7 linked regions of the Tribolium castaneum genome follow. The main gene of each other region encodes a partner of the protein of the gene in region 5 in a complex. Links are inferred from orthologs where the notes say so. Each region holds a gene or a part of one and is shown on either strand. Other genes may lie near its edges.

Evidence for each region.
Region 1: Nup98-96 (region 5) and Nup107 share a complex: the UniProt entries of both Drosophila melanogaster proteins name them as parts of the nuclear pore complex. The link is inferred for Tribolium castaneum from reciprocal best matches to the Drosophila melanogaster genes Nup98-96 and Nup107.
Region 2: Nup98-96 (region 5) and Nup214 share a complex: the UniProt entries of both Drosophila melanogaster proteins name them as parts of the nuclear pore complex. The link is inferred for Tribolium castaneum from reciprocal best matches to the Drosophila melanogaster genes Nup98-96 and Nup214.
Region 3: Nup98-96 (region 5) and Nup153 share a complex: the UniProt entries of both Drosophila melanogaster proteins name them as parts of the nuclear pore complex. The link is inferred for Tribolium castaneum from reciprocal best matches to the Drosophila melanogaster genes Nup98-96 and Nup153.
Region 4: Nup98-96 (region 5) and Nup75 share a complex: the UniProt entries of both Drosophila melanogaster proteins name them as parts of the nuclear pore complex. The link is inferred for Tribolium castaneum from reciprocal best matches to the Drosophila melanogaster genes Nup98-96 and Nup75.
Region 6: Nup98-96 (region 5) and Nup160 share a complex: the UniProt entries of both Drosophila melanogaster proteins name them as parts of the nuclear pore complex. The link is inferred for Tribolium castaneum from reciprocal best matches to the Drosophila melanogaster genes Nup98-96 and Nup160.
Region 7: Nup98-96 (region 5) and E3 SUMO-protein ligase RanBP2 share a complex: the UniProt entries of both Drosophila melanogaster proteins name them as parts of the nuclear pore complex. The link is inferred for Tribolium castaneum from reciprocal best matches to the Drosophila melanogaster genes Nup98-96 and Nup358.

The regions. Positions count from the first base shown.
Region 1 is NC_087395.1:26,509,934-26,514,101, reverse strand, and holds the start of Nup107 (nuclear pore complex protein Nup107), read right to left. Parts: upstream 2,801-4,168; 5' UTR 2,711-2,800; coding exon 1,847-2,710; intron 1,797-1,846; coding exon 1,635-1,796; intron 1,395-1,634; coding exon 934-1,394; intron 658-933; coding exon 1-657. Other genes in the region: sodium-coupled monocarboxylate transporter 1, read right to left, coding at 4,117-4,168. UniProt on the Drosophila melanogaster protein: Plays a role in nuclear pore complex (NPC) assembly and maintenance. Required for nuclear import of Mad. Mediates the association between the nuclear pore complex and a subset of active chromatin regions adjacent to lamin-associated domains.
Region 2 is NC_087398.1:6,201,336-6,204,955, forward strand, and holds the end of Nup214 (nuclear pore complex protein Nup214), read right to left. Parts: coding exon 639-3,620; intron 591-638; coding exon 563-590; 3' UTR 501-562; downstream 1-500. Other genes in the region: ribosome biogenesis protein WDR12 homolog, read left to right, coding at 1-487. UniProt on the Drosophila melanogaster protein: Part of the nuclear pore complex. Serves as a docking site in the receptor-mediated import of substrates across the nuclear pore complex including emb, RanGAP and phosphorylated Mad. Protects mbo/Nup88 from proteasomal degradation at the nuclear pore.
Region 3 is NC_087394.1:31,197,843-31,201,910, forward strand, and holds the start of Nup153 (nuclear pore complex protein Nup153), read right to left. Parts: upstream 2,801-4,068; 5' UTR 2,687-2,800; coding exon 2,618-2,686; intron 2,388-2,617; coding exon 1,838-2,387; intron 229-1,837; coding exon 1-228. UniProt on the Drosophila melanogaster protein: Component of the nuclear pore complex (NPC), a complex required for the trafficking across the nuclear envelope. Functions as a scaffolding element in the nuclear phase of the NPC.
Region 4 is NC_087399.1:876,580-880,879, reverse strand, and holds Nup75 (nuclear pore complex protein Nup85), read right to left. Parts: upstream 2,801-4,300; 5' UTR 2,692-2,800; coding exon 2,668-2,691; exon of another isoform or gene 2,623-2,667; coding exon 2,181-2,622; exon of another isoform or gene 1,961-2,180; coding exon 1,707-1,960; exon of another isoform or gene 1,661-1,706; coding exon 1,538-1,660; exon of another isoform or gene 1,484-1,537; coding exon 1,265-1,483; exon of another isoform or gene 1,132-1,264; coding exon 1,016-1,131; exon of another isoform or gene 966-1,015; coding exon 429-965; exon of another isoform or gene 376-428; coding exon 171-375; 3' UTR 121-170; downstream 1-120. Other genes in the region: oxidized purine nucleoside triphosphate hydrolase, read left to right, coding at 1-115; uncharacterized protein LOC660898, read right to left, coding at 2,803-2,890, 2,936-3,372, 3,422-3,665, 3,886-4,250; mRpS23 (small ribosomal subunit protein mS23), read right to left, coding at 4,281-4,300. UniProt on the Drosophila melanogaster protein: Component of the nuclear pore complex (NPC) that seems to be required for NPC assembly and maintenance. Required for nuclear import of phosphorylated Mad via importin msk.
Region 5 is NC_087403.1:3,514,342-3,518,342, forward strand, and holds the start of Nup98-96 (nuclear pore complex protein Nup98-Nup96), read right to left. Parts: upstream 2,801-4,001; 5' UTR 2,609-2,800; coding exon 2,545-2,608; intron 2,495-2,544; coding exon 2,366-2,494; intron 625-2,365; coding exon 1-624. Other genes in the region: uncharacterized protein LOC656938, read right to left, coding at 2,879-2,946, 3,000-3,113, 3,157-3,500, 3,547-3,677, 3,727-3,855, 3,908-4,001. UniProt on the Drosophila melanogaster protein: Part of the nuclear pore complex (NPC). Required for MAD import as part of the Nup107-160 complex and required for nuclear export of Moe probably via its association with Rae1. Plays a role in nuclear mRNA export.
Region 6 is NC_087395.1:25,114,010-25,118,226, forward strand, and holds the start of Nup160 (nuclear pore complex protein Nup160 homolog), read right to left. Parts: upstream 2,801-4,217; 5' UTR 2,705-2,800; coding exon 2,620-2,704; intron 2,571-2,619; coding exon 2,148-2,570; intron 1,987-2,147; coding exon 1,797-1,986; intron 1,747-1,796; coding exon 1,401-1,746; intron 1,353-1,400; coding exon 1,101-1,352; intron 883-1,100; coding exon 519-882; intron 466-518; coding exon 293-465; intron 1-292. Other genes in the region: uncharacterized protein LOC655733, read right to left, coding at 2,930-3,122, 3,177-3,309, 3,357-3,704, 3,817-3,847. UniProt on the Drosophila melanogaster protein: Functions as a component of the nuclear pore complex (NPC). Involved in poly(A)+ RNA transport. Required for nuclear import of Mad. May play a role in double strand break DNA repair. Essential for nephrocyte development.
Region 7 is NC_087394.1:28,910,596-28,914,796, forward strand, and holds the start of E3 SUMO-protein ligase RanBP2, read left to right. Parts: upstream 1-1,401; 5' UTR 1,402-1,541; coding exon 1,542-1,616; intron 1,617-3,393; coding exon 3,394-3,619; intron 3,620-3,670; coding exon 3,671-4,201. Other genes in the region: Ars2 (serrate RNA effector molecule homolog), read right to left, coding at 60-263, 614-772, 820-941. UniProt on the Drosophila melanogaster protein: E3 SUMO-protein ligase. Component of the nuclear pore complex (NPC), a complex required for trafficking across the nuclear envelope.

The sequences.
Region 1 (4,168 bases), on a different chromosome or scaffold from region 5:
TGCGATGTCGTCAATTTCCACCGTTCCGCTTCGGCATTAAACTGCGAGACTTTATGATTATGAGCAACTTTTTCAGTAAATTGTGCATTTTCGGGCAGTTCAGGTGGTGGCATCGGCTTATTCCTATACTGTCTAAACCACTCGTTAAACGCCTCATGTGCATCCAAATACGCTTTATAACTCAAATAATTCTTAACAATCTGATGAATCTGCTCTTCGCTGCGTATCTTCTCTATAGAATCGTAAGGAATTTTATTGATTGCCAATTGGGCTGCTTCTAATTTGCCCAAAATCAGAAATTTGAAAATAATAGAATTGGTTTGAGCCAATGCTTCGGCTCGTTGCTCCTCGTAAAACATCAGCCAATCAATAGCGGAGATTTTGAGTTCGTCGATTTCGGTGATTTTACCTTGGAGATTACCGGGAAGTTCGGATTCAGACGGTCGGCTTGTTATAATTTCGACGATTTGTTGCGTTATAGCAAATACGTCCAAACTGAAATCTTCAGCGTAAGTAAGGGCGTTTTTGCGTTGCTCAGTCGAAAGCAGTTTTTCGCAGTGTTTGGCGTAAAGTTGGATTTGTTTGGATTTTCCCAGCTTGCTCACGTAGAAGGCCACAAGCTGGGTTTCGTTCATTTCGCTCAAACGCTCGATATATCTAATTAAACAAATGATATTAAAACACAAGCAACGCAGCGGTGAGTAGCAAACACTTTATGTTTTTTTATAGAAGCTCGAAGTCAAATAAAACAAAAAATAATACCGTAGCTATAAAAAAGTGGTAAAAATATTAAAAGCAATAATTTAGTTCTGACGAGATTATGGTCAACATTAAGAACATAAAATACACTAGACACAAATTTTTTTATAGTCACCATACCGGGAGACTAAAGCGCCCGGCCTTAAGTCGAGTTATACAACCAAGAAAACTTACGTTTCGACGATTTTTTCACACGTTTTTCTATGAGTGGAGTCTCCGACGCTTTCAAAAAACAAAACTAAGTGAGCATAAAATCGAAGAGATTGTGTCGTAACACTTAGATCTTCACTCCACTGATCTAGGAGGCGTATCAGTGTGGGAATTTCGTCTAAAATGACAAGTTTCTGAATTACATGATCAATTTCATGCGCTTCTTTTGCAATGTCAATATTTTTCGAGGCTTCCAAAATTGTAAAAATTTCACTTAATGATTTCTTTTGTTCCCAATATTCTTCAGGTAGTGGTATGTAGTTTTTAATGATTGAGTCGCGAATTTCCGATTCAACACGAATATCGACCATGGTTCGCATGTAGGCCCACAGGTGGTCCTCCCATGTGGTACAAACGGGCAAAATGCCCTCCAAGAAACCACAAAGACTACCAATGGCGGCTTTTTCATAAATGTTCAAGTTTGACTGAAATTTTTTAGTAGTTTTTTCAAATTTATAAAACAGCCTCCTTGATAGATACGAAACTTCGTCTTCAGTCCTAAATTTGGTTAATTATTTTCCAGAAATTTTAAATAAATAAACATAAAATAAATACATGTTTTACAACTGCCAAAGTGACATCGGTTTATCTAGTAACAATGGTATCAAAAAAAAAGATAGCGAAGTTCCCGAACTGTCAAAGAGGCTGTGGAACGAAAAACTTACCCTATGACAATAATCTAATGCGCAAGATTTCCACAAATCCCGCCTTTGGTTCCCTTCTACGTCTTTATACTCTTCAAGACTTGTTTCCAGGTTGGGATTATGAAAAAGCTTCCAGCCTTCTAACATCGCAGCGCGCCATGGATAACCACTGTTGTAACATAACTGAAATTTAATTATTGAATAAATAATAAAAGGCTGAAAACAGCACAAACTTCCTGGGCGCCCTCAAGGTTGCCGCACCTAATTTCCATAAAAATTCTCTGACATAGTTTTTTGTCATTGTCGTAATCCAAGTGGTGCAGCGATAAGCGCTGAAACTGTGGCGCATCTGGATGTATGTTCTTGATAATATCCACATTACTCCCAATTGCAATAGCATCAGGTGCTAGCAATTGATGCAAAGTGTGTTCCCATCCATACGTCCAGTCTGAGTGCATTAAAATGGGGTCCCCCTTCTCCAGAGCGTTCCTCTCGAGCCAATCGATCACCAACTGGCTTTCCCTAACCAAATTCTCTCGTTTGAACAGTTCGCACACACAGTTCTTTTCACTGCTCCCGAAATCCTCCTCAAACCCTTCCTTACTGTGGTTCTGGGCCTGGATCCGATCCTGGTACAGGACATACAGCAGTCTCCAATTATTCCGCTCATTTTCGAGCCATTTCTCTTCGGCTAATTCACTAGTGGCCACTTTGGCTTTCAGTGACTTAACCACCGCCAAAGCGTCACTACAACACCTCGCCAAGTCTTCGGCCACGTCCAGGATATCAAGGCCTCCGGTGGACCCCTGCAGGATATCCGCAAACTCTGTATATAAATTATTAACAGTGTTTTTCCATGGAGTTCCTGCTTGGATCACCGACCCGGTGACCGTTTTGTCATCATCGACAAATAAAGACAAGGTGTTTTGATAAACACTTCCATATTCCAGGCCGGTTAAGTCTTCGGGGTTTATTGTAAAGCTGAGGTTAGGTTTTTCACGCTTTGGAGTTGCGGTCGAGACCTTAAATAGCCCTTTTGTGGGGGTCTGGAGAGCGTCTTCGAGAAGACGCACCGACCGTTCCAAATCATTATCCATTTTTAATAAAAAACACACACAAAAAGCCGTTGCATAACCTCAAAAAACAAGTCTAGCGTTGCCTCAGAGCGTTGCAAAGTCCCTAGATTCAGGTTGGTAACAGTTTTTCTTTTCCTCGATCGTCATTTGTTTCAAATTATCGCGTCTGTTTGTGTTTATCGTGTTTTTTGTTCAAATTGAAGGAAAATTGGTGAAAAAAGTGTTGAATTACGTAACTTAATTAAGTTCAATTTATAAATTGTGGTAGGAAACACCGGTTTTTTTCAAAAATTTGTAAATCATGTGTGAATACTGAATTTGGAAAAATGATGTTACTTAGTGTTAAGTGTAATTTTTACATAATTTGGTGATTCCAGTGACAAAGTAAGGTAAGGTGCATGTTTTTTTAACAAAATTTAACATTATAGCACATTATTGGTACTATTTTCGGAAATTCAGTGAATTTGGTTGGCAACACTTTTTCCATTATCGCGTCTCTCGTGTGTGCCCGGATCTTTTTTGTCTACATTTATGAAAAATTTGTGAAAAAGTTACCTTAATTACGTTTTTTTTATAAATTGTGGAAAAAAAACACCAGTTTTTCCCCGGATATTCCTAAATTCAGTTACTGTGACAATCAGGATTTGGAAGAATGAAGTGTTAAGTGTTAGTTTAGAAGTTCAGTGTTAATTTGGAAGTTTCAAGCACAAAGTAAGGTAACTTGCATGTTTTTCAACAAAATATTAGATTATTGCACATTATTGTGGGCATTATTTTTGGAAATTGGTGAAAAAGCAAGTTTTCTTGAAAACTTGTAAAAAACATCACTTTCCAAATATTTGTCAATTCATTTGTGGTTAGGAAAAGTACATTTTAAGCACAAAGTGAGGTAAATTGTACGCTTTTCAACAAAAATTAGATTACTGCACATTAGTGGTATGTATTTGTATTTTCGGAAATTCATTGACTTAAGATTCTGGAAATATTGGGCGACTTTTCAGTACTTGGAGCGTTTTTTTTTGTCAATAACTTCGGTTGTAGGCATTTAAAGGAGGCAAAAATCCACAAAATTTTTTTTATTTATATTATATTTTCGTTGGTAGCTTAAACTCTTTGAACAAACACTACGCTTATTATTAATTAAATATTATTGTACTAAAATGTTGTAATAAATACTCGTTGTTAGCACTAGTCTAAGCTTACAAAAGAAAATAAATATTTCAACACGTACGCGTATCAAGTTGTACAATCTTATTCAATAATAACAATGTAATAAGGTATAAAAATAGTTAAGTAGTCTTTGCATAATTCAACAATCGAACACTTGTATCTTATCAGCTAGAGATCACAGATGTTGCCAAATAAAAGGCACTAAAAACACGAGTCCGTGTCCATTTCTCACATCCATCTCTAGGAAGAAAGAAAAATCATAATTTGGTTCTGTACACTTCCATTTGTACGTCTTGAGTGAAAGCGGGA
Region 2 (3,620 bases), on a different chromosome or scaffold from region 5:
AGAAACCATAACTTCGACTTCCTGGATTGACAACCATGTAATTTGCACTGTGTCAATGGACCATACGATTAAATTTTGGGATGCTGAGTTGTGTGGTATCAAGAATGAAATAGTTGGCCAGAAGGCATTTTTGGATTCTTCTTGGTCTTCCCTATCTAACACATTATTAGCATGTTCAGCTGATAGACATATTCGGTTGTACGACCCAAGGTCTTCAGAGGGTTCAGTGGTCAAGACTACTTTCACCTCACATACGCTATGGGTCAGTTCAATTGAATGGTCAAAATACGATGAACACCTTTTTATGTCGGGAGGATACGATTCTGGTGTCAAATTGTGGGATTCCAGAAGCCCTAAAGCCCCACTTTATAATTTAGAGGGACACCAAGGGCAAGTCCTAGCTGTAGATTGGTCCAATAACAAGTATCTGGTCTCTGGAGGGTGCGACAATAGTGTACACATTTTCAGAAATAATTATGTGTTTTAAGTGAAAAATAAAATTAATTTTAAAAAAATTTATTAGTTTCAGCTTACAAAATTTAACGTAAAACATTTTCCTTCATTAACGCCAACTGGAGAATGAGGAGCTCCTACAAAAAAAAATGTACTATGCCATTTATCAGTTTAAAAATTCTTACCCAGAGAACGGCGCACTCTGCGCTGGGGCGTTGGCAGCTTGCTGTGCCAAATTCCCAAACCCTACTGTTGGTTGATTGGCTAAATTACCAAAAGCTGTGTTCTGGGTACTAGCAGCTGCCCCAAACCCGGGGCTTGAGGACCCAAACACCTTTGAAGTATTCCCAAAAGCCGGTGGGCTGCCAAACGCCGGCGCTCCTCCAAAACTAGGCGAACTCCCGAAACTGGGCGATCCCCCGAAAACGGGAGCTGCCCCAAATCCCGGTTTTTGGAAGCTCTGACCTGCCCCAAACCCGGTTTGTCCCACAGTTCCACTCCCACCACTGAAGGGCCCCGCAGGTTGCTGACCGAAACTGCTACCCCCGAAGAAGGACGACTGTTGGCCGAAGGAAGATTGGTTCCCGAAACCGGTACCAAAACTCTGGGACGTGTTACTGAAGAGCGATCCACCACTGGAACCGAAAACTGAGCCACTTGACGACACTGGAGAGGCTCCGAAAACGCTCTTATCGCCCCCGAAGGGGTTCGCAGGTGCACCGAAACCCGAACTTGCAGTCGTTGAAACATTGAGACTTCCGAAACCGAACGTTCCGGAACTGGTATTGGTGCCGAAAGTACCGGACTGAGTAGTGGCAGGGGCGAAGACATTCGACGAACCGAAAATAGAGGGAGTCGTAGATGCAGGTGCCCCAAAAAGTGAGGGGGCAGTGGACGCAGGTGCTCCGAATAAAGATCCACTAGTACCGAAAGTACCTCCGCTTGTAGTCGTTGCCCCAAAAATGCTCCCAGAGCTCGTAGTTGGTGCATTTCCAAAGACGGAACCACCCGTTTGGCCAAAAGCGGGTGCTGAACCCCCGAAAACGTTCGTACTACCTGACGAACCAAAAACAGAACCTTGACCAAAAGCGCTTGTATTTTTGCTCCCATCGAAGGGCTGGCTTTGGCCGAACGTTGAAGAAGTTGTGGTACCACCAAATATCGACGGCTGTGTGCTTCCGAATATTGACGGTTGAGTCGCATTTGGTTTTGCATTAAATAGGGAAGGCTTTTGGGCGGCGTCTCCAAAAAGACCGAACCCTTGAGATTGAGTTGTCGTTGTAGGACTGGCAAAAGTCGACTGAGTGGTACCAACAGGAGTTCCAAAAACTGGGGTAGTGGGAGAGCCGAAAATTGACGATTGTGTCGTAGCTGCAGCCCCAAATGAACTAGTAGACAAAGGGGTAGCACCACCAAAAATCTGAGTGGTAGGTGTGGTAGCGCCAAAAACAGTCGCTGGTGAAGTACTTGACGAAACATTGCCAAAAATTGACGGCTTTGATACATTACTATCGGTACTTGCAACAGTACCAAAGACAGAAGCTGTAGTGGAGGATGATGGCAGGGCTCCGAAGATGGATGGTTTCGAAACGTTTGAATCCGTGGTTGCAACAGCCCCAAAAACACTTGATGCAGTTGTGCTGCTAAATATTGACGGTTTCGAGGCGCTAACTTCGGTACCACCAAAGAGTGGTTTAGTTGAAAGAGCACCACCGAAAAACCCAGTTGTGGGCGGAGCTGAAGATATGGTTGGAGACTGAGTAGTACTACTAACAATAGAGCCGAAAATTGATGAAGTTGTCGCTGGCGAAGAGAAAATTGATGAAGTTGTTGCTGGCGAAGAGAAAATTGATGACGTTGTTGCTGGCGAAGAGAAAATTGTTGAAGTTGTTGCTGGCGAAGCGAAAATTGATGGAGTTGTTGCTGGCGTTGAGAAAATACTAGTTGAAGATGGGACTGTTGTAACAACAGGAGCTGTAACACCGGTAGTTGTAACAGCTGTAGTAACAACAGTGGCCGCACTGGTGGCGATTTTCGGTGTTGTAGTTACGGCAGGAACAGCCGGTGAGGGAAAAATAGATGATTTAAGTGCCCCCAATGAAAACGGTGAGGACTGAGTTGATGGAGTGCCACTGGTAGTACTAACTGAATTTGGAGCTGTTACACCAAAAGTGGGTTGGATTGAGACTGGACTCGAGACAGCTTGCGTTGTTTTAGGACTGGTTGTTACAGAAGTCGTAGGGAAAATTGAACGTTGGGTACTGCTAGCAACGGGGGAAACGGCAGAAACCACCACATTTGGAGTACTTGTTGCAGAAGTAACTACTGGCTTTGTAGAAAACGTAAAGGTTTTCGATGTCGCAGCTTCGGTCACTTTTTGTGTTGCTGCACCGAAAATACTTGAAGTATTAGTAGCGCCACCGAACGAAAACTGGGTGGAGGTTGGTGCTGTGGTGGTAGCAATACCAAATGACGGAGTAGAAGTTTTCGTAAAAATCGTACTTTCCGCGGTAGTACTAACACTCGTGGATAGATTAAAAACAGAAATAGACGTACTGGGTTTGGTAGTCGCTGCACTACTTGTTAAAATGGGCGCCGCACTAGTAGTTTGTAAACTGAACGAAAATGTAGTTTTAGGCAAAGATGTGGCAAAGAGGTTTGTCCCCACCTTTGGGGTACTGCTAGTAACTGGTTGGGAAGACAAATTAACAAACGATTTAGGTGCTTGCATGGTTGCAGTACTAGTCACTGCCACAAAACTGGGACTTGTTTTAATAATAGACGCTGTCACGGCTGTAGTTGCAGCCATGAAGGTGGGTTTGTAAGTATTTGCTGATGCAGAAACCGAAGTTGAGACAAAAGCCGAATTTGGAGACCCAGCAATCACGTTTTTAGTCAAAGGCGTGAAAGTTTTCTCGGGCAAATTTGTGAAATTTTTAGCCTCGAATTTAAGGGCTAAATTTTGTAAACCTTCGATTGGAGTTGCCGTGGAGTCGAATTTGAGCACAGTGGGTTTGGGAGTTGACTGCGCAAAATCGAGAACCCGAGGTGCAACTGAAGTTTTTTCGGGAAGCCGACTAAGTTGTTTTGGCGGAGTTTGGATTACGGAACTGGCCAATTGAGGCTTCACGAATGAAATATGTGGATATTCTCTTTTTTGGAGAAAA
Region 3 (4,068 bases), on a different chromosome or scaffold from region 5:
TTTCTTCGCTAATTTTACCTAACCTACGTCCGTATGCAGAGGCGCCGCCATAAATTGTATTGCCGCTATAGAAAGGTGAGCTCAATATTCTCTTGGTAGACAATGTTCTGTCAATAAAGTTCGGCGAGCCGAAAGTCGATGCGTTAAACGATGGCCGTCTTGAACTCAAAGAAGTGTTCATGTTGGGGCTTCTTTCCGAGAATAAAGTACGTCCGCTTGATTCGTTTGCTAAAAAACGAATTGATTGTTTCAATTTTTTAATTAATAAGCCTAAAGAAAACACAAAACCGATAATATTCATAAAAACACATGATTTATAAGGAGTGTGGCACAATTTAAATAACTATTTGAAGTATAATGTCCATACTTTTGCCAACTCTTGAATATTTTTTTATAAAAAGTACTCAAAATTGTATATTTTCAATCCTGAAAATAGCAAAAATAAGCAAAAATACTCCAAGTCTGCATTTGAAGCCGGAATAATACTCATGGATTTTTTCATTGTATTATAATTTCCATTATCAAGCTCGACCGGTTCAAATTTTGGCAAAGATGATTCATCAAGAATTAAATCATAGACTTAGAACATGACTAAGATTTTATTTCCCCTTTTCCGAGTACACAATATGAAAAGCAAATTATGTAAAGACTGGTGTTTCGCTAAACTGTATTTTTTTTAATAACAAAAAATAAAAAAATCACGTTTCCTCTTCCCCATTTTTTTAAAACAATCTTTACTCGACCTACTGTCGGCAACAAACGATTATTTTTTACGTTTTCATTAATTCCAGTGAAAAAATATCAGACTCAGTGAAAAACTGAATAGACGCGATTTGTGACATATTGTCCAGATTTAAACTATTTAAATCTTCTTGTTAAAGCAATTTTATTATAGAACCTGATATTCTAATAAGTGTATAATTTTTTATAACGCTAATTTTTGAAATTCACCCAAGAAGGTAGAAGAAAGAGTTTTTTAGGTTTCTGAATTTAATTATAAAAAGGACAACAAAGTGCTCATAATAGTGAATTAATAAATGGTAAAAATAGATAAAAGTCAAGACAAGCTCAAAAATGACGAGCCGGAATTTCAAGAATTTAAAAAAAAAGGTAAAAATGTAAAACAAAATTTATTAACAATACGAGAACAGTGACTAATTTACTTGTTGCTCGTCACGTAGGTATAATGAAAGTGATGACATTTTTGTGTGTACAGCGATGCTGTACTTTAACCTAGAGGTCAAATATTATAAAAGAAAACAAAACAAGGAAATTACTAGTTCCATTAATAACCATAACAAGTTTATTATATCGGTACGTATTTTAACCTTATTTCATACAATTATCAATATCTCATTAGAAGCCTATAAACAGATCAGATAGTTTATTTTACCTTTATTGCATAAATACAATTTTTACTAGACTTTGACCTCATACCCAAACAACTTATGTTCGTCATAAGAGTCTTGCAGATACTGGCAATGATATAAATGTAAGAGGTCTTTTACAGACTTTAGCTAACAGCAATGAGCGTAAACATTTTTCTTACTTTGGTAACTGGAGACCTGCTTTTTGTATACAAAAGCATGAAAGTTGCTGATAAGAGAAAAACTTTAATTTAATCATTTGTGGTATTATCAGTTTCTTATGGTTTTAAACGGATCGTATTTATGAGTTTTGATAATTTGTAATTTCATATTGTGCATTTTTCTGGCATGAGTCACAATACTAAAAGTATAATAAAGTATTCCTGAGACAATTATGTACCCAACGGTTGCCAAAGTTAAGAAAACACTGCAAAAAAACTAAAAACAAACATTATGTAACGTAAACTTACATGAAGTAAACAAGGACCTAGTTTTAGGAGTGACTTTTTCACATGTTTCCTTGTGAGATATTTCTGCACTTTTGGGTTGATTAAGCAATTTGGGTGCCGAAGAATAGCCACTAGTTGATTCTTCACTGTCAGAGTCATTCTCACCGTTAACAATTTCTTGATTTTCGAACGAATTGGTAGAGACCGTATTTGTGCTAGCAGAACGGTGTCTGTCGAACAATTTGCGGGATTTAACCCCCGACGGCCCCGCCACCGGTTCAGGAAACTTCCCAAACACTTTCGACGAAACATTGTTAACATTATTGGAAGCATTATGCACAGTCACTGGCGATTCAAATATATGTGCACTGTAATTGTTGTGTTCCACTTCAGACGGTAGTTTCACACGTTTGCTTGGTGGCTGGAAAACGTAGGAGGCATCAAAGTCGTCGTCGTCGTCGTCGTCGTCGTCCTCCCGCCTCTTGACCGACTTGGACGCCGAGTCTTTGCCGAACCACTTGGACAAGGGGGTGCTGTTGAAAAGCCCCGACACGAACTTGCCCACGAACGACTGCAAGACAAATTCAAAATAGGACCTGTTAGCTACCTTACACGTCAAGGTTAAATAAATAAATGCGAGAAACTAAGGTTAAAAACGCGTGCTGGTGGCACTGCCAGGTTGCATGGAGGTGCTGGGGCGACTTTTGGGCAGTGTAAAGACACTATTTCGTGAGAAACTTTTATAGCTATATTTAGAGGTGAGAACGCGCGAATATGTGCAAAGAACGCATTTTATCAAACCTTATCCAATCCTGCATCTTTCGAGTTGTCTGGACTGTTTTCGGCACCTTCATTATTATTATTTGCCATAATTACAATTGTTCTTAGTCTATTTTACACAAATAAAGTAATTTTGGAAAATCACACATTTCTATGACAACTTTCACCACACGAGGATCCAATATGGCGGACTCCAAGTGTGAAGTTAGCCGCTTTTTGCGCGCGCTCCCCCTCGAAGAACACGAAGTTGGCGCTTTAGGAACAAAGCTCTCCCGCTGATTTTTCAAAATTTTGAATTCAATCATTAAATTAATTTTGTTAATTTACTTGAAGTTTTTGAACAAAATAACAACAAATATTTAAAATTTTAATAAAAATGTTTATTACCCTTAAAAATACAACCATATTTTTTGCCAAATATCTTTTATAAAAAATTACAAATTTTTAAAAAATCAAAAAAATACATGCAATTTGATTTAATGTGAATAACTTTTACAGTTTTCAAACGTATAAATAGTACCTCAAAAAAATTTAATATTGAAATTTTTTCAAGGCGGCAACTGCCAAAACACAAGTGTTTAGTGCGGTTGCCTATCACAAATATTTATTAATAAATTCATTATCAAATTTTACTGCTATTTTTATACCTGCCGCGATAAAAAACATATTTCTTCCTTTAACATACTATTATTAAGATAATGTTAAATACTGTTTAATACACAAAAAAAAATTAACGTGTCGGCAATATTTAAAATTAACAATTCAATTTTTTTTAAATCTCAAGTAAAATTTTCTTGAAATCGAAAATTCATCAAGCTGGCAGGTTTAGGTACATTTCAATAGTCGTATTTGTGTTGTTTCTCACTATGAAATAAAAAATGCATTTTTTAATTTTGTGGCAAATTTATTGAAGAAAAAAATCAGAAAATAAAAGGTGGCTGCAGTACTTCCTACTGAGAGTTTGATTTACTGTATTCACTATAGTGAGTAGAGTAACAATTAACAACGAAATTGTTTATCTAAACAATCACATCAATAGAAATTCCAAATTATCCTTGCCTTTTTATGTAATGAACTTTCCCAAAAAATCAATGATACGTACGTATTTAAACACAGAAAATAATGTCTGCAATAATTGTAAAAATATTAGACATTCATTCTTGGCAATTCATTCCCTGTATTTCCCGGACATTATTAGTAAATCCATATGAAGCAAGTTCCTTCAATGTCTATAGATTAGTTTATATAACATGAATATTCAGCATTTTACAATATATGTTGCTGATGATTTAAAGTGGATTAGGGATCTTCGTTGACCGAGTTTTTACATGGTCAGTCATATGTGACAGGAGACAGAAATTTACTTCAGCATGAAAACATACCAAAATTAGGTATACCATTTTCGTAACCAATATTTTTTAAACTAATAATAATGTTAATGGTTTTATCAAAAAAATATAACATGAGCGCAA
Region 4 (4,300 bases), on a different chromosome or scaffold from region 5:
GTTAAAAGAGAAATTTTTTGCGGCCAGAGTGACTTACAGTGACCCTGACACAATCACTGATACGAAAATTGAGGAATTTGAGGACTTGGCGAGTGCACTTAAAGTGGCCAATTAAAAGTATTATTGTTTACGTAAAGTATTTATTTAATAAAAAATTGTTAAAAAAATCATCATTTTAATTGGGCTTCGTGTACCAAAGCTCGTGCTAAATTCCGGGTCGCTGACAGTCTCAAGATCGGAAGTTTGTCTTTCAAGTCTTTGGTTTTTTCCTGCTCTTCCAAACACTGCATAATGATGTAGGTATCAGTTGAGGAAAAAACCATTTTTTCGCACTCAAGTAGCGGTATTGCGTCAGTTAATAGAATACTCCAGAAACTACAAGATAATCTTTAGATAAAAAACCGCAATTTTAAGTGTTTTCCCCTTACAAGTTTGGTATTATTTTCGACTCAAGTAACGAAACGAGCAAATTGGCGGCTTCTTTGTACTCGTTCGCTTGATATAACTTCTGGAATTCGTAATATTTGCCTAAAAACATCAACCTATCGCTTGCCAAAATACACGATCCGAGATTATCCAAAAGATCAATACTGTTCAAATCGCCACTTTCGGCATACTCTCGCAGAAATTTGTTCGATAAAAACGACACAAAAGTGCCGTCTTGTGATTTGAGGGCCCAGGCGAGGGCGTGTCCCAGACGCCCCCGGTTTTTACAAGCCATTCCTTGCACTTTACAAATACTTTGTGCCGTTTCGGTTAAATTCCGGTTCAGAGCCTCTCTCACAATTTTCTCAGCCCGCATTTCGGAATTTAGAGGCAGTCTTGCAAGTAGTAATTTTGTGACTTCAGGGCCATCGCTGGGACAGTGGTCCAAGTAGCTTAAACCGACCTGCCATAGTGACTTATGGCCCATTAAAAGCGAGCCATAATCGATTAAAAATGACTCGCGCAATTTATCAGGGTGGCTGAAATAATAATTGTAAAATAAACGGTTTAAAAAAAATCGGGGACTCACAAATTTTCAATAGTTTCGATAGTTGTGTCGCTTAGACGGCCTGAATGGTAAAGTAGGTCGGTTAAGTGGCTCACAAACCAGCCACTGTCTGTCATATTTTGGATTTCTTTAATCACCTGGCAAAGAAATGTTAGAATTTATGTGTACATTTGCAAAAAAGTGTAAAACTAAAAGTATAGCCGAAAAATACAGGATTATTCAAAAGTCTCAGTTTTATTTAATAACTTAACAGAGGTGGCGCCATATTACCTGTAAAATATCAAACTCCATTGCTGCCAACAACATCCTATCCAAATGCTTAATTCTATTCCCTATGGACATTTTCGTGATACACTGTTTGGCAAACTGTCCCAACTCAAACGATTTAACAGTAGGTTGGGTAAAAAATAACCACGCGGCTAACATTTCATACCACGTCTCGCAATACTGCTGTATTTCCCCCCATGCAATTTCGTTACCAACCGTAAGCTACAAAAAATCTTATAAAGAAAACTACCAACTCAAACACACTTAAAACAAAACCTTCATAATCAAATTGAGATTATAACAAGAAATAAACATTTTCGCATCAATTTTCGATTGAACATCCACGACCCAATGATTCCATTGTAGATTAAATTCAGCGATTGAAGTCCCACTAAACATCTAAAGTCGGCCATGAACACCTGTCAATTTCTCCCAGCCTACTTACGTTATAAACCGGCATTGCTCTCAGACACTGATCCACAATTCTGAAAGGTTGTGACTCAGCTTCTGAGTGTAATTTAAGTAGGGCCCTAACGACCTTGACCCGCCCTTGTAATAGTGACCCAATGACAGTTTCCCAATAGTCAGGGTGTGACTCCAAACCACCCAAATCCCCAGCCAACATACTTGCCGCATTTCGGTCATATTTCGGAAAATGAAACCGAATCCAGTCCAGTAAGTGGGGCAAAACAATGTTGCCTAAAACCCCAACTGTTTGGCAAAAATCCCCAAATTTTGTGTCACTACAGAGGTCTATAACTTAGGAGGAAACGATGTACGAAATTACCGGATTTTCTGAACCTAAAAAAGTCCGGAATTTTTTTTAAATATAGTTAACGATAAAACTACCGAGTTCAGGACGTTTTATTTGTACGTCGTTTCGCATCCTAGCTTTTAGATATCCGTGTCACTAACCCACCTGGGACCGCATCAACAAATAAGATTTCACACAAGTGCCAAATACACTCAACTGAGTAAAAAATCGTAATGTAATTTTGCAATTCTTCGCGATAATCGCCATCGGCTCGCATCACCTCGTCTTGCAAATTCTCCAAACAGGCCCTTATTATGGACCTGTACTGCCGGCTAAGTTTCAATAATTCGGCCTTGTGGTCGCCCTCAGTGGCTACAAGGGCTTGAAGGGTTAGAAACGTCCCGTTGGCCTCATTTACCAATTTGCGTAAAATTGGTTTGAAGAGAATAATGTCGGGGCGCAGCTGAAACACAGAGGCGTCCGAGGGGGCAAAGTGACTCGGTTTATCAACTTTTGGTGTTTTCTGGTGGCCGAAAACACCGAATTCGTTGACGGAAAGCCACGAAGCCGCCACTCCAGCACGTCGGCATAACTCATTTGGAATAACCTACAAGTTATTATGACCTAACCTCAAAAATTGATCGCTGCTTACGAAAGTTTTGGCGGTATTGTCCATTAATACGGGTCGGGAAGCGTTAAATAACACGAAATTTTGCGCCTTTTCATTCAAAAAAACCGTATTTTTTTCGAATTTTGTTTGAGGAGAGCGGTTAGCCGGGTCGGTAATTTAGAAATCTGTTCGGTTACTAGGGTTACTTTCGTTTTGGGTTGGTAGCGAGAACGGTAACGGTAGGGATTTAACTTCGCCGTCAATCCTGTGGGCGGGTATTTTGAATTTGTTATATTGGGGTGATACTCACGTTGAGGCCTTCTCCTGGTGCGAGTGTGACGTTGAGCGCGATTCTGTCGGTTTCTTGCGTACGAAAAATCGCATAATGAAGTCTTTTTCTTTGAGCGTTTGAGTGTCAATGCTCCTAATTTCTGCCTCTCTGGCTTCCTGCATGCGGGCTTGATCTGCGAGGAGCTTGTCAATTAGATCCTTAATTTGGCCTCTGGAATGTTCAATTCTGGAGGTCCACTGTTTCATTAAACGGTAGTTTTCCCTTGCTTTGTTGCTCCGATCGTTTACTTTCACACTAGTCATGTCCCGGAGCATCGTATGGCGAACACTTTGACTTTCGAAATATCGCACAATGTAATTTGAAAGGGTGCTTAAGTAAAGCATCAAGTGGTTTATGTTCTCGTCAGTGCTTACTTTATTTTTTATCAAATAATTGACAATAAACCAGTCCACTAACTGCAAGTCGTATTTTGCCAAAACAAGTTAGAGAATTATCGGGACTTACCCGAAATTCAGTCACTGTGATTCCCTTAAGTGCGTGGCTAACTGCAATTTGTTTGATTAAATCGAGCGCTTGTTCGATGCGTCTCTGTTTGAGATAAGTTAAAACCATTTCATGAACGTGAAGTAACGAGACGAAATGAGTGATCATTCGTCTTTGGATAGTATATGTGTCTGTTTGCTGATTCGGGTTCCGGGCACTTGCAGCCCCAAACTTTTCTACCACTTTATCAGGCATTTTCAATGTCCTGCCAAAAAATAGAAAATAACCCGGCGCATCCACCATTTTTCAAATTCAAATAAGTGTTTAAATACGTTCTGGAGTAAGCTAGTGTTGTAAAAAAAACATATGATACGTAAAATGAGTCGCTGAATTCACTGGAATAAACCGTTTTGTTCTACGAATTTTAGTTTTTGAGTTATGAATTTTTTGAATAGGCAAAAAAATTAAATTAAATAAAACAGTACCCTGCGTGGATGTCGCTAACAATTTGCCCCAAATGCCTCTTCAGAAGCGACAGCACTAACTGTGAGGTTCTGATGGTCAAGGGGGCCAAATGATCAGCTGTGAAAGTCTGAGACTTGATGTACATACTCTGCAGTTCGCCGTAATGAATCAATTCACTGTCACACTTCGACACCGAAGGCTTTTCAGACAAATGAAACGAGGGGGAAGTACATATCGAAGGATAGGTGATTGATGGTGGAATAGTTTCGATACTCCCGGTATAAAAAATATGGGAATAAGTGCTTTGTTCGCTACCTCGTGGACGACTCAATTTTTTACCCATTTTAATTTGACGTAAAATAAAACAAAGTGTCACAAAAAACATTTATTAAGACTAGATTTTAACAAAAAAATACTACGATTTAAATATATCAA
Region 5 (4,001 bases):
CAAAACTTGGGGTGCTAGTGGTAGCGCCGAAAGTGTTCGGTTTTCCGAACAAAGTCGGAGTGCTTGTCGTGTTGGTCGATCCGAAAGCTGGTGTTGTTTGTCCGAAAGCCGGCGCCTGGCCGAATGCTTGCGGTTGTTGTCCGAAGGCGGGTTTGTTATCAGTTTGCCCGAAAAGCGAGGGCGTTGTAGTGGTCGAAGCCCCGAAAGGGGTGCTTCCGAAACCGGCCTGTTGTTGGGGTCCTTTCCGGTTAACCGAATAGTCCTCAAATCGCAACTCTTCCAGCGATTTATTCTCGTATTCTTTCATGCACGTGATGCAGTGGTGTTTGGTACTTATCGACTGGGTTACCCCGTTTTTTTGCATGGTGTCGGTCCCCGTAACCGGATTGAATTTAATAACAGTGCCGGTGGTCTGGTTTCCGAAAGCGTTACTTCCGAATAACATTGTATTAGTGTTTGATTGGAAAAGAGAGGTTCCGGGTTGTTGTTGCGGCTGTTGGCCGAATAATCCGGGCTGAGGAGGGGCCGAGCCGAATCCGAATGATTTATTTTGAGTGAATGCATTTGAGCCACCGAATAAACCGCTAGTTGATGGTTGTGGTTGCTGGCCAAAGGGATTTGTGCCTACAGACAGATTTATTAAGAAACTGAATGATGAAATATCGGACTATTGCCCATTCTGTGCTTGGGAAAAAAAAAGGATATGGATAGGGATCACACATCATTCCGTTAAAACCATCATTGAATATCTCACTTACCAGACGACGACTTACAAGACATCCTAGTTAAACTAGCTAAACAATAAAATAAAATAACCAAATAAATACAAATCATAGGAGTGTCTCCCGATATATGAGACAAGAAGTATACTTACAATGGGCGCTCATTGTCTCATCAGCTAAACCTATGAATCTTTTAAATTAATTGTTTCAATCGACTTAGCTTACCAAACTCTGGATCGGAAATATTGGCCATAGAATAAGTCATAGAACTGGTTGTTGTACCTATCAAATATTTAAAAAAATTTTGGCCGAAAATAACAAACCGTTACTTACAAACACATGAAGCAACTGAAATACCGCCACCACCAACTTAAAAGAAAATAAAATCGAAAAGCTCAACTGTCGCAATACTTACTACTTTGAAGATATTGGGTCAATTGTCGGTTAAGAGGTCTACCATCTTGGCCTATTGAAAATTACTTAATATATACGTAATACCTTAAATTAACTTACGTGTAATAGTAAACGGGCTTAATGGCTGTGGAACTCTCTGTTCTCCTAAATAAAAAAAAATATAGAAACAATTCCAACTTAACAATAATTTCGATTTACCAGAGGGTCCCGGCTCAGCAGCGCGAGGTGAATGAAATTCGGGATACGGTGGTCTGGGAGAAATCTCACCTAAAAATTCCAGAAAATAATAAAGATAAATTTATGACAAAAAAACTCACCAGCACCAGCGTATCTCAAAATGGCTGGATCAACCAAGCCCGGGCTATCTAAAATCAAGTAAAATGCCTTATAACTTTGTTTTTTATTTTATTAGTTGAACTCTTGAATTCTGTGAGAATAATAAACGTCTGCGAGTTCTAGTTCTAATGTGTACAATCTCCAGGAAAAAGATACTATTAATAGTATAAAAGTATAAAGGTTACATTATTTTTTACGTGGAATGTAACTATGTTATATATAAGGTGTTTAGTTTGTACTTGGAGTAGATCTATGAATTCATGAAAACGGCATAGAAATATTAGTCAGGTCACCCTGTATACAAAAAATAAAAGACCTAGAGAGTATCGTCTTTTTACAAGAGTTGTATGGGATATTCCGTCATAACTTCATAAGGAAACGTTATCTGTTTTATTTTTACATATTTATTTATTTTTTTAAAAAAAGAATGTACATTTTGAAAAGACAAGGAAACGTAAACGAGGCTGTAGTAGAACAATATTACTCACCACCACCCTGCACCTCAAATCTACGTATAGCTTCGCGATTATCTGTAAAAAATTCATGAAAAATATTGAAAGTAACAAAAAAATAGAAACTCACAGGCGGCCGTCAGGTAGTTCTCCTCATCTGGAGACAGCGGGAGAGGCGGCTCAACTGTCACAATCATAATAAAATTAATACAAATTCGAGACGCTTTATTATCGCAATGCTGATCTGTCAAAAATCACTCTCTCATTCGCGCAAACCAACTCAATTCTCATCATACGGGTTAGTAAAATACAAATTAGTGTATTTGGTGTTAGTAAACAAAAAGGGAACGTGTTGCACAATAATGGGCAATCATGGGGGCAAGTGTGAGGTTATACTACTTCTGTTTCCTACTAACTTTAACAACTGTTGGGTGTACGTACCGAAGCTGGTTTGGCTTGTGGGCGCCGATGCGAAGGACGAGGTGCTCGCAGACTGGAAGATGTTCGAGGGCTGCATTGATGAAAACATAGAGGTGTTGGGGGCAGGTTGTCCGAAAGTCGAAGTGGACGCTAGAAAACCAACCACGGTAACAACCACCGATTCAGTTCGGCAAACTTACCCCCAAAAGTTGAATTCGGTGGGTTATTCATGAATGCTGGCTTATTCATAAAGTTGGGATACATATTTACGACCACAATTGGTTAGGCATCCATAGAAATCACAGGAGATGCAGCGATTGATTTTCATTAACACCACATTAAAACACGACGGTTTTTACTAATATTTTGCCACAAAAACACAACAGACGGTTAAACTACCGCAAATTTTATTTACGACAACCATCTTGTTTTTATTGTAAAAAGCGGTGGCGCCACCTGCGAGTGGCGCGAAATTAAATTCAAACTGCGCAGCTATCATTTATTAAACCAAACCAATTAATACAATTTTTTATTTTACAACGTATATTGCTTAAAATCGTGTAAGCAGTTCGTGAAAACGTCTTCCACAGTTGAGGGTCCCGCTACAAAATTGTATTCATTATCCAATTATGTAACAAATTAACAAAAAACTCACAAAAAGGATACCATTCATCGCACGAATTTCTCGTTTCCTTTCTGGCACTCGCAACGGCGTTGCGTATCGCCAACGGGACTGAACACGCCAAACATAGCGGTGGTTCCCCGATAGCTACAATTTTCCACAGTTATGATTCCATATTCAAGCTATTTACCTTTGGAATTGAGAACTCCAACGCCATTGGGCGTATCGCCCGGAAATTTGATCCTAAAATCAACTGGAACGTCCCTCGCGCCTGGTGGTTTATAATTCCAAGTGCGATTGGTCAACAACTCGCCGCTTTCGCTAAAAATAATCTTCTCCGACGTGAAATAACCCATGCCCATGACAAACGCGCCCTCGACTTGCCCCATATCGATACCAGCGTTCATGCTAGTACCGGCATCTTCGAGTAAATCAACCCTTTGCACGATATATTGCCCGGTTAAAACGTCCAGCTCTATTTCGGAGGAGCAAACGCCGTAAATCGCGTAATTTTTCAGTTCGGAAGGGCTACCCCTAAAAACATTATTCGGAAATTAATTACTTAACGAATCACTTATACATTGAAGAGGCCGACAAGTTAACATATTGATTGTAACATTCTTGCACAATTTCCTCCCAACTGGCATTTTCGAGCTGTTTTTTGACCGGTTCCATGCGTTCTAACAGGATATCGCACGCTTTAATCACACCCTGTGATAGATATTTGAGAAAAACAAAAAAAACAAGAGTGAGGTAATACGTGACAAACTGTTTCCGATGTTAAGCTACCACCGACCATGTGGGCATTAGGCGCGATCAAATTATTGCTAGGCTTGACCGAAATTTTTTCGACTGGAATTTTCAACTTGTAGGCACACACTTGAATGACCTTCAATTACACGTGTACGATTAGTTCAAATTTAAACAAAGTCACTGGTCACCTTAGTGTTGATACCTTGCCCCATCTCGACTCCCCCGTGCGCGATTGCCACACTCCCGTCCGATTTATAGACGGAAACAACGACCTCATAGTTG
Region 6 (4,217 bases), on a different chromosome or scaffold from region 5:
ACAAATCGGGCGGTTTTTGCTTAACTATTTACGCGAGATCGAAAAAATACGCGAAAGCTCAAAAACTACAATAAATTGCAGTGCTTTAAATAATTTTAAAATTCTTCAAGAGTTTTCCGTAAATGATTTGAGCAGATATCAACAGAAGCAGCTGTCATTAAAATTTTCTGTGATATAAATATAAGAATGGTTCGCCAGGCGCCACGGTAAAAGTACCAGATAATAAATTGTAAAACGTTTTTTAGGGCTCAAAAGCCCCAGAATATTTTTTTAACATAAAAAAAGTACGAACCTCGGTGTCCATCTCGCGCTGGATCTGCTCAAGGAGAGCCCCCATGACGACATCAGGCGACTTCAGCAGTGCCAACTCTCGTTCGAACGTGTACGCGAAAATCTCACTCATCTGCGAATCCAAATAATTAATGACCTTGAACAAACTGATCACGTCGTCTGTGATATCAACATCTGCAAAAAATGAACCAATCACAATTGATTAATTAACTGTGCGGTTTAATTACTCTCAGACAAGAGGAAATATTTGGTGAATTGGTCCCTAAACATGTGGTCGCTTTCGTAGATGAAATGTTCAAAAATATCGAGAGGTCGCAAAAACGAAATCATGGATTTTTTCAAAAGTACGGCCCCGGAGGAGTTTGGAAGAACAAGGAGGCCTAAAGGTTTAAGTCCAGCGACGTGGTATTGGACGCAACAGGAGTAGAATTGTTGCCAGCAGTAGCTGGCGGTTTCGAGATAATCTTCGTCGCTGACGACGGTTTCCTTCAGCTCGTTTTGGACCTCGTCTTCGACGGCCATGCAGATCTGCTGCTTGAGATGGGCCGCCGAGAGGTTCAAGTCGCTGATGACGGCCGAGCGTTTGTAAATCTATAATAAGCAGTTGGTGTGACAAAAAACGCGCAATAATTTTTATGTATATTTTTTAAATAAAAGGTTTGAAAAGCAACAATTTGTTATTTTGTCGGGTCGCCAGGAGTCACATTAATTGTGCCTCAACCAAATAAGAAACTAAGAGGTTTAGAGAAAAACAAATGGCACATTTTCGAAAAATACAGTAAAAAAATCAGCTTGACTTGAAAACTTACGTTCAAAGCCTTGCTGATTATATGCAAGGGGAACCTGCCCGGGTGGAAGATGTGCTGGAGGTAGCTCTGCCTGGGATCCGTCTCCCCGTCGATGCTCAACGGTTGGCTGGCGTCTGGCACATTTTCCAGAACCACGGGAATCCAGTGACTCCCCGCCTGGTTCGAGGCCGAATACACCTCACATTGGCCCTCTTTTCCGCGCCAAACCGACCAAATCCGACTTGTCGAGATCGTAAAATCGATCAAATCGGTCTAAAACCCCAAACTTACCCCCTATCACTTATCCCACCTACGACTCACCTGAGCCAAATCAAGTATATTAAGCCTCACTAGCCGAACCTGCGAGCCACTGAGCATCGGCTTGAACACATGCAACTGACTCTTGGCTGCGAAACTCATGAAAATACCCAACAGACACTCAGAATCAAACCCATCGACGGCTTTCCGCAGGATGTGGTTCTGAGCGCCTTGCAGCTGGTTTCTGGCGCCGGTTTCGGCCATGACGTCGATCACTGAGACACATTCGGCCTTTGAGCACGACCAGAATTTCAAATGACCGTTGCGGCAAAGTGTCAAAGCGAAAGTTTCAAGACCGAAAGTATGTAAAATGAGGCTGACGGTAGTGTCGCCTTCTTTGTCTTTTTGGCTGCAAAAAAACCGTCAGTTTTCCGGGCCGGAAAAAATGAAGGGTTGTACCGCAGCTTGTCGGCGAGACCTGAGAGAAAGCGGGGCACGATTGACTCGCTTTTTAGCTCAGCTGAGTCGATTTTGCCCTCGGGGGACTGTCTCAGAAGGAGGATCTCGCCGGAGTGGTAGGCCAACACGAAAATTGCTTCCTCCTCAGCGAGGGTCAGGGAAGAGGCGGCCAGATATGGCAGCTGAGAACCTTTAAATAAGGGTTCATCTAGTCATGAGAAGTCCAATATTTTAAATAATCATGCAAACGTATCTAATTTTGCCATTTGGCAAACCTATTTAAAAAAAATTATGATTTGCTCGTTACGACACTCGTCTCCGGCTCGTGACTTAAAAAATTACAAGACCTACTCGAATTGGTGAAAAAGTGGAATGTGGCGGGATCCCTCGCCTCGTTGGCCGTAGCTTCGCTGAACACCGACGGCGCCGCCAGATCTGGGTGAACCCCCGCGACATGGTCCTGCCGGTGGTACTTATCCGGATGCGGAAACACCAACCTATGGACGCTGCACACCGTGGGCACCAGAACCACCACATTATCGTACGTCTCATGGATGGAAACCCCGTCCAAAATCGGGGTGTCCACAAATTTGTATCTGATGCGATTTCCGGCGAGATTTATATCGAGACTGTGCTCCACGAGCTCCAGGACATCGTGGCTAATCCTCCAGTAGATAAACCGATTCCTGGTGTGGTGTCTGGTCGAGTCGCGGTAACAAAACCCGTTGGCCCTTTCCGCGACTTTGATATCTTGAAGCGTCCCTTGTGTCCCCCCTGTTACATAACCTCAGTTTTACGTAATCGGCGATTTTTGTGATATTACCCGTGTTGAGGGTGATTTCGCGCCAGGGATCGGACACCGTCTGGTCGGGGATCACCTCCCGGTACCCCAACGCGATTTCTTGCATGGTTTTAGCCCGTTTTAACGGTTTTTTGTGCAAAAGTTAGGTTAGGTTTACGGAAACAAAAAATCAAGGTCGGCGAGTGGCGGTTAGATAATTTTCAAACTCAGGTTAACTCGCCACCAGAGGGCGCGGGGTCAGAAAATAAGACAAAATTCTACTTATTTATTTATTTATCGTACATTTATAACAAAAATAACATTTATAATACGTGGAGGGATAATATAATAACTATGAGAATAGCTTGGTTGAAGTGAATGATGCTAGGAGGAGTAGAACGCTGCTGAAGCCAATGGAAATAGCTGAGTTACAGGGTTTGCGAATTGCTTGGAAAAATCGGTTGTTTAACGACTCAAAAGCGGCGAAATCGGGACAACTACGGGCTATCGCCTCACTGAAGCACTTCTTGGACGCTTTTAAGTCACTAGAATCAGAAGAAAGATGAAAAAGTTGGGTTTGTAATCATGGGGGCACCTACAGGCACAGGTCGTCTTTCCGGACCACGTCGCTAAACCGAGCGAATAGTTTAGTAAAGCAGTTTCCAACTTGTTGCCCCTCTTGGTTGAGTTTCAAGTTTTGGCGGCAATCTGCCCCTTGGGTACTGAAGAAATCTGTATTTTCCTTGATAAAAAATAGTTTTCAAAATTTTAAATCTTACTTTCGATGGTTCTTTGGGAACACACAAAGTCGAGAAATGAGGTGAAGCTTTCAACCATGAACTTGGGCAAATACTTCTCGTCTTTGGGCAAACACGGTTTGACATCATGGGCAAGCTGGGCGGCTAGACGGGCCAGTGTGGGCCTTTCGTCGTTGCAGAACTGCTCCTTACCATTGGGCAATAAACTCGCAGCGTACGAAAGATAATCGCCAAATTGCCCCAAATGGGTCTTTATATCATCGTAAGCCGAAGCGTCTGTGCTATAAACCCGACACCTATCATAGATAAACCTGGAGATTTTGTCAGAGGAGTTCCCCTGCTGGCCCGCCACACTCGCCAAAACAAGCCCTGAAAAGTTTCGGTCAAATATTGCGTAATTTCGAGTGGGCTTGGGTCAAAACAAACGAACCCATGTGTCACATTTTCCAAGCCAACCATGACCTACAAACAAAAATCTCACCTGCAACAACGAGGAAACTTGTAATTTTCATGACCAATCCTGGAAATTGACCTTTTGAAGTGTGCACTGCGGATTATTTATACAGACGCTAGAACGTCACGCGACCTTCTATTTCTCTTCAAACCAACATTTTAATGAAAAGGAACAAGTGCAATATGTGCAGAAAAATATAAACTCGCGGAACCCATTTTGTTGACGCGATGAATTGGGGGCTGCATAAAAATGACCGATTCGTCATCGGTCAACGAAAATCCGCGCACTTTTCGAGGAAATTCACTTATGTTATGACTCAATTTGCTACAAATTCTTAATCGATAAACGAATGAGAAAAATGCGCGTTTAACGCGAGCAACCGCTGACGCGTGCTTTTTACAAAAATAAAACAATTAAAAAAATCTTGT
Region 7 (4,201 bases), on a different chromosome or scaffold from region 5:
GGCAATATTTTCCCTCAATTTACTTTTTTGCAATTCGGTAATAAGCTAGTAATACACACCATTCGTCGTCTTTATGGGCAACAAAAAATTCGTTAAGTTGCTGTCGCTGGAACTCCAATTTGTAGTCATTGTATTTTTCGATAGCTTCACTATCGGAAATGTTATCGTCCTGGGTGGCCAGAAACGCCTTAAAGGACATCATTGGCGGCTGCTGACCCTCAGACTGAGACGATGGCGGAGGTTCTCTGAAGAAATTACCAGCTCTTTGAAAATAGAAGATCACGCGTTAGTAACTGTTATTTTAAATTAAAACCGAAACAAAACGAAATCTAAAATAACAATTAAAACATGCGACTAATTACGATAAACATTCAGATACAGTTTGAGGAAACAATGAACGGTATTTTCTATAAAAATGCAAACCATGCAAGGCGATAAAATAAAACACACAATGGGGCAAAAGTCATTAGCAATTCCCTATTCTAGATTTCTTAACTGATATTATGTAAACAGCTAAAGCAGTTTTTAATTACGAGCATCATAATTTTTTTAATAAACCTTGAACGCTGGTGCACCATTTTTTCCATGCATTTTAGCAAAAACCAGCAACTACCTGTGCGAGCTTTGGTGATAGGGCGAGTAATGGTTGTAGTAGCTATCAGCATAGTAATCGTGGCGCAGCCTCTTGGGGGCTGGGTCCAGACTCGGCGAGTATCCCCTGTCTCTCACCCCCGGGCGGTACTCCCGAGGCCTAGGTCGTGACCAAGAGTCACTATAATTTCAACACTAGGACCGAATAAGCCTCGTATTGACTCTTACCGTTCGGCCCAGTCGTCCCTAGGTCTGGCAACCCGTTCGGCCCCCCTGTAAGTGGCTTCGGCGCGTTCACCTCTGAACTTATCGCGGCGTTTGCGGTCGTATTCATCGTCACTATCAGCCATTTCCTGCAATTAAGTCGGGAAAAGTGAGCACTAGCACTGAGCACCATGAGGGTGTAAGTAGTCAAAATGAGGGGGTGCTAACTGCGGGTGGTGGGTTACTGGTCTAGGTGGGTTCGATAGAAGACTCACTTTCTGTTCTAAAAATAATACTTTTGGCGATTTTCCGGCGAAAATTCGGATTTCTCTTGAGGAAGTTGATACAAAATTATGGCCGACACGTCAAAGACGCCGTGGGGGTTTTGCAGCCACCAACCTATGGTGGTATGACTGGTGACGCCGCATTATCGCAACATTTAAACGCAAAAAACTGCTCATTGTGGGATTATTTATTTTTGTTTCAATTACTACAGTCATGTAACTGAGTTGATAAGCTGTAAGAACAGCTACAACAGCCCGTAATTTGCATTTTTAATTTTTTTATTTGGATACCGGTCCCTCCAAAAAAGCAAAATCCCTAGCTTTGATTACTGACGTCAGTTGTAAGATGGTGGACGTCCGTTCGTGCGTTGTGAAATCTCATGTTGTAACGGTTTTATAAACGTTTTCTAAAATTTGTGAAATTGCTCGTTTAAATGTACGTTTGAGTGGACGCTTTTCAAAATGTTTCCCACAAGGAAAGCCGATGTCGATAAACACGTTGAAGAATGCTTGAAGAAGATAAATAACGAGACAGAGGTAAGGTTTTGAAATCGCTGTCATTCCGTTACGCCGGTCGAGAATTTCTCATTTTTTCGCGTTTTGAAAACGCGTTTGCTTATCAGAAAGGGCCCAAAAAACCATCACCCTTATCGATTCCACCTGTCCTAATTTTAAAAATTGCGTATCATTTATTATTGGAAGAATGTCTCACGCATCAATGTCACATGCAGGGAACCTTTGGCGGGAAATTATTTTTAGATTATAAAAATTCTTAAATTACGCTTCGTGTTAGGTCCAATTTGCCAAGATTTTTGGCAGTGTTGGCGAATCGTTGGCCTTTTTTGTTATCCAGCTGAGCCGGCAAGGTCATGCCTAATCAATAAATTGGCTAAACCCTTCTATCATTTGAAATACTCATTAACACAGTTATTAATTATTATATTTTGTAATTATTATTAATTTTGTTACACCTCTTACACCGTGGCGGCTTGAGGGTTCAAGAGTCAGTGAACAGCTAACAGCTAGTACACAATTTTTTTTTGTAGTTAATGATAGCTCCAAGTGCTCCAACATTTCATTTTTAACTTTAAATTTGTATGTGTAATTGTGTATGTATGTAAAAACTCGCCGTTACTTATTACAGAATTTGTCTCTGTATTCTTTAACTAAGTGTAATGTCTGGATTTTTTTTAAACAGCTTTGAGCTACAATCCATAATTTTTGCATTTGGACATGTTATTTCACAAGCTTTATGAATACCTAACTCAAAATCAATAACAATTTTTCTAGAATTAAGAGATAAATTATATATGAACATCTTTTAACAAAGTTGCATATTATTTTTTAGTTTTATTTAGTAACAAATCAAATACTAATGGTACGTAGTGCCCATTCCTAAAGCTATGAACGGTGAACATTTGACAAAAAAATCAGTACAAAATTCGAAGGTAACACCATGAAAAGTGTTTATACTGAACAAATAAATTTCTAAAACAACTAAAGACAATTGTTTTGTTTGTTCATCGACTCAAGATTCAAAATCTTCGTGCTTTTTGGTTTTTAGTTGTAATGTTGCTGCCAAATATTTCTTCTGATTTTCTGGAATCATTTTCTCTTAAGTCATCATCCTAATGTATTATTTTAGAATGTTTTTTACACAAATCTTTAACAGCTTTTTTTTTTACTGAGTTACTGATTATTTGCCGCGATATGGTTGAGTCTATGTTTGTGGAAACCAGAAAACTGTACTATTTTGTCTTCTTGAGGAAACTTCGGATATAATTTGCCACTAGCGTTTTTTACAATTTCTTCAAAAACTTTTCGGAAAAATATAATATTATAATCGTACTCGCACACTCGTAACTTTATTGAGTTATACCGACACTACGATTTTAAAATTCTAATAACTTTTGCTTTATATTGATTCTTCTTTCAATTCCTTTTAATTTTCAAACTGACTCTGGTGGGTATATTTCTAAGAAATTACTGTCTCATTGCATTGTCTCCTTAATGAGTCCCTATTACCTGGCCTACCAAGGGCATAATTGCACCCACTCTGTGGGGTATTGTGGTCGAACTCAGCTATCGGTTTAATCCCTAATTTTAGTATCAAAGGATTATTTTTGCAGCGGTGGACAAAAAAAATCAATGTTGGAGTTACAGTTAGGGTTGAATTGGCCTTCTTATATTATCCTCATATTTTGTCTGCAGTGCGATAAGCTGATAAAACACTAGACTTGATTTGTGATAGCTGATTAACTGTAATATTTCACTAATAAAGATACGTAAAATAGTAAATTTCGTTTTATTACAGCGCAATCTTCGTTGCCTGTCTTTCGCTAAGCAGTATTTCAAAATCGAGCGTTTCGAGGACGCTCGTCGTTACGTCTCGACGTATCTCAGTGCAAGACCAAATTCTGCAGAAGCTCATTGCTTGCTGGGCAAATGCCTGGAAGCACTGGGCCGTAAAGAAGCCGCTCTTCAAGCCTACACGACCAGCCTTCGGCTTGACTCCAAACAAAATAATCTCGTCCTGAAAGGTACGTGAAGGCTTTTTATTTTCTAATTTTTCGGCAACGTTTGCGTTCCAGTTTGCGAACTCTTAGCCTCCGACGACGTGGAAATGGACCATTCCGGTGCTCGGTACTTTTGCGAAATGGCCCAGTCTTTCGACCCTCACAATCCTGCCATCTTCAACCTGAAACAGCGCATCCTCACGTCGGAAAATGACGATCCTCGTGATGTCTCCAATCTGATTTTGAAGGAGTTAGAAACGCGGCCGACTGACGTCAAGTTGCGGGTGCGTCTGTTAAAACATCTCCTGCAACATCATTTGGTGAAAGAGGCGTACAAGCATGCTGCGGATATTGAAGCCAAAGACTTGGCGATTTTTTGCAATGTCACTTGGTACGAAGCCGTAGCCGAGGTCTTGGTCAAGTACCAAAGAACGGTTTCGTTGCCTAACTCGCTCGGTTGGGAGTTTTGGTTTTTGTCGGTCTCCGTTCTGGACAAATTGGCCGCATTGACTTTGTCCGAAACCAGCGAAAATATCAAAACTACAACCGAATACATCAATGCAATATTTAACTTTGACCAAACTTTGACAAAAGCTGCTCTCAACA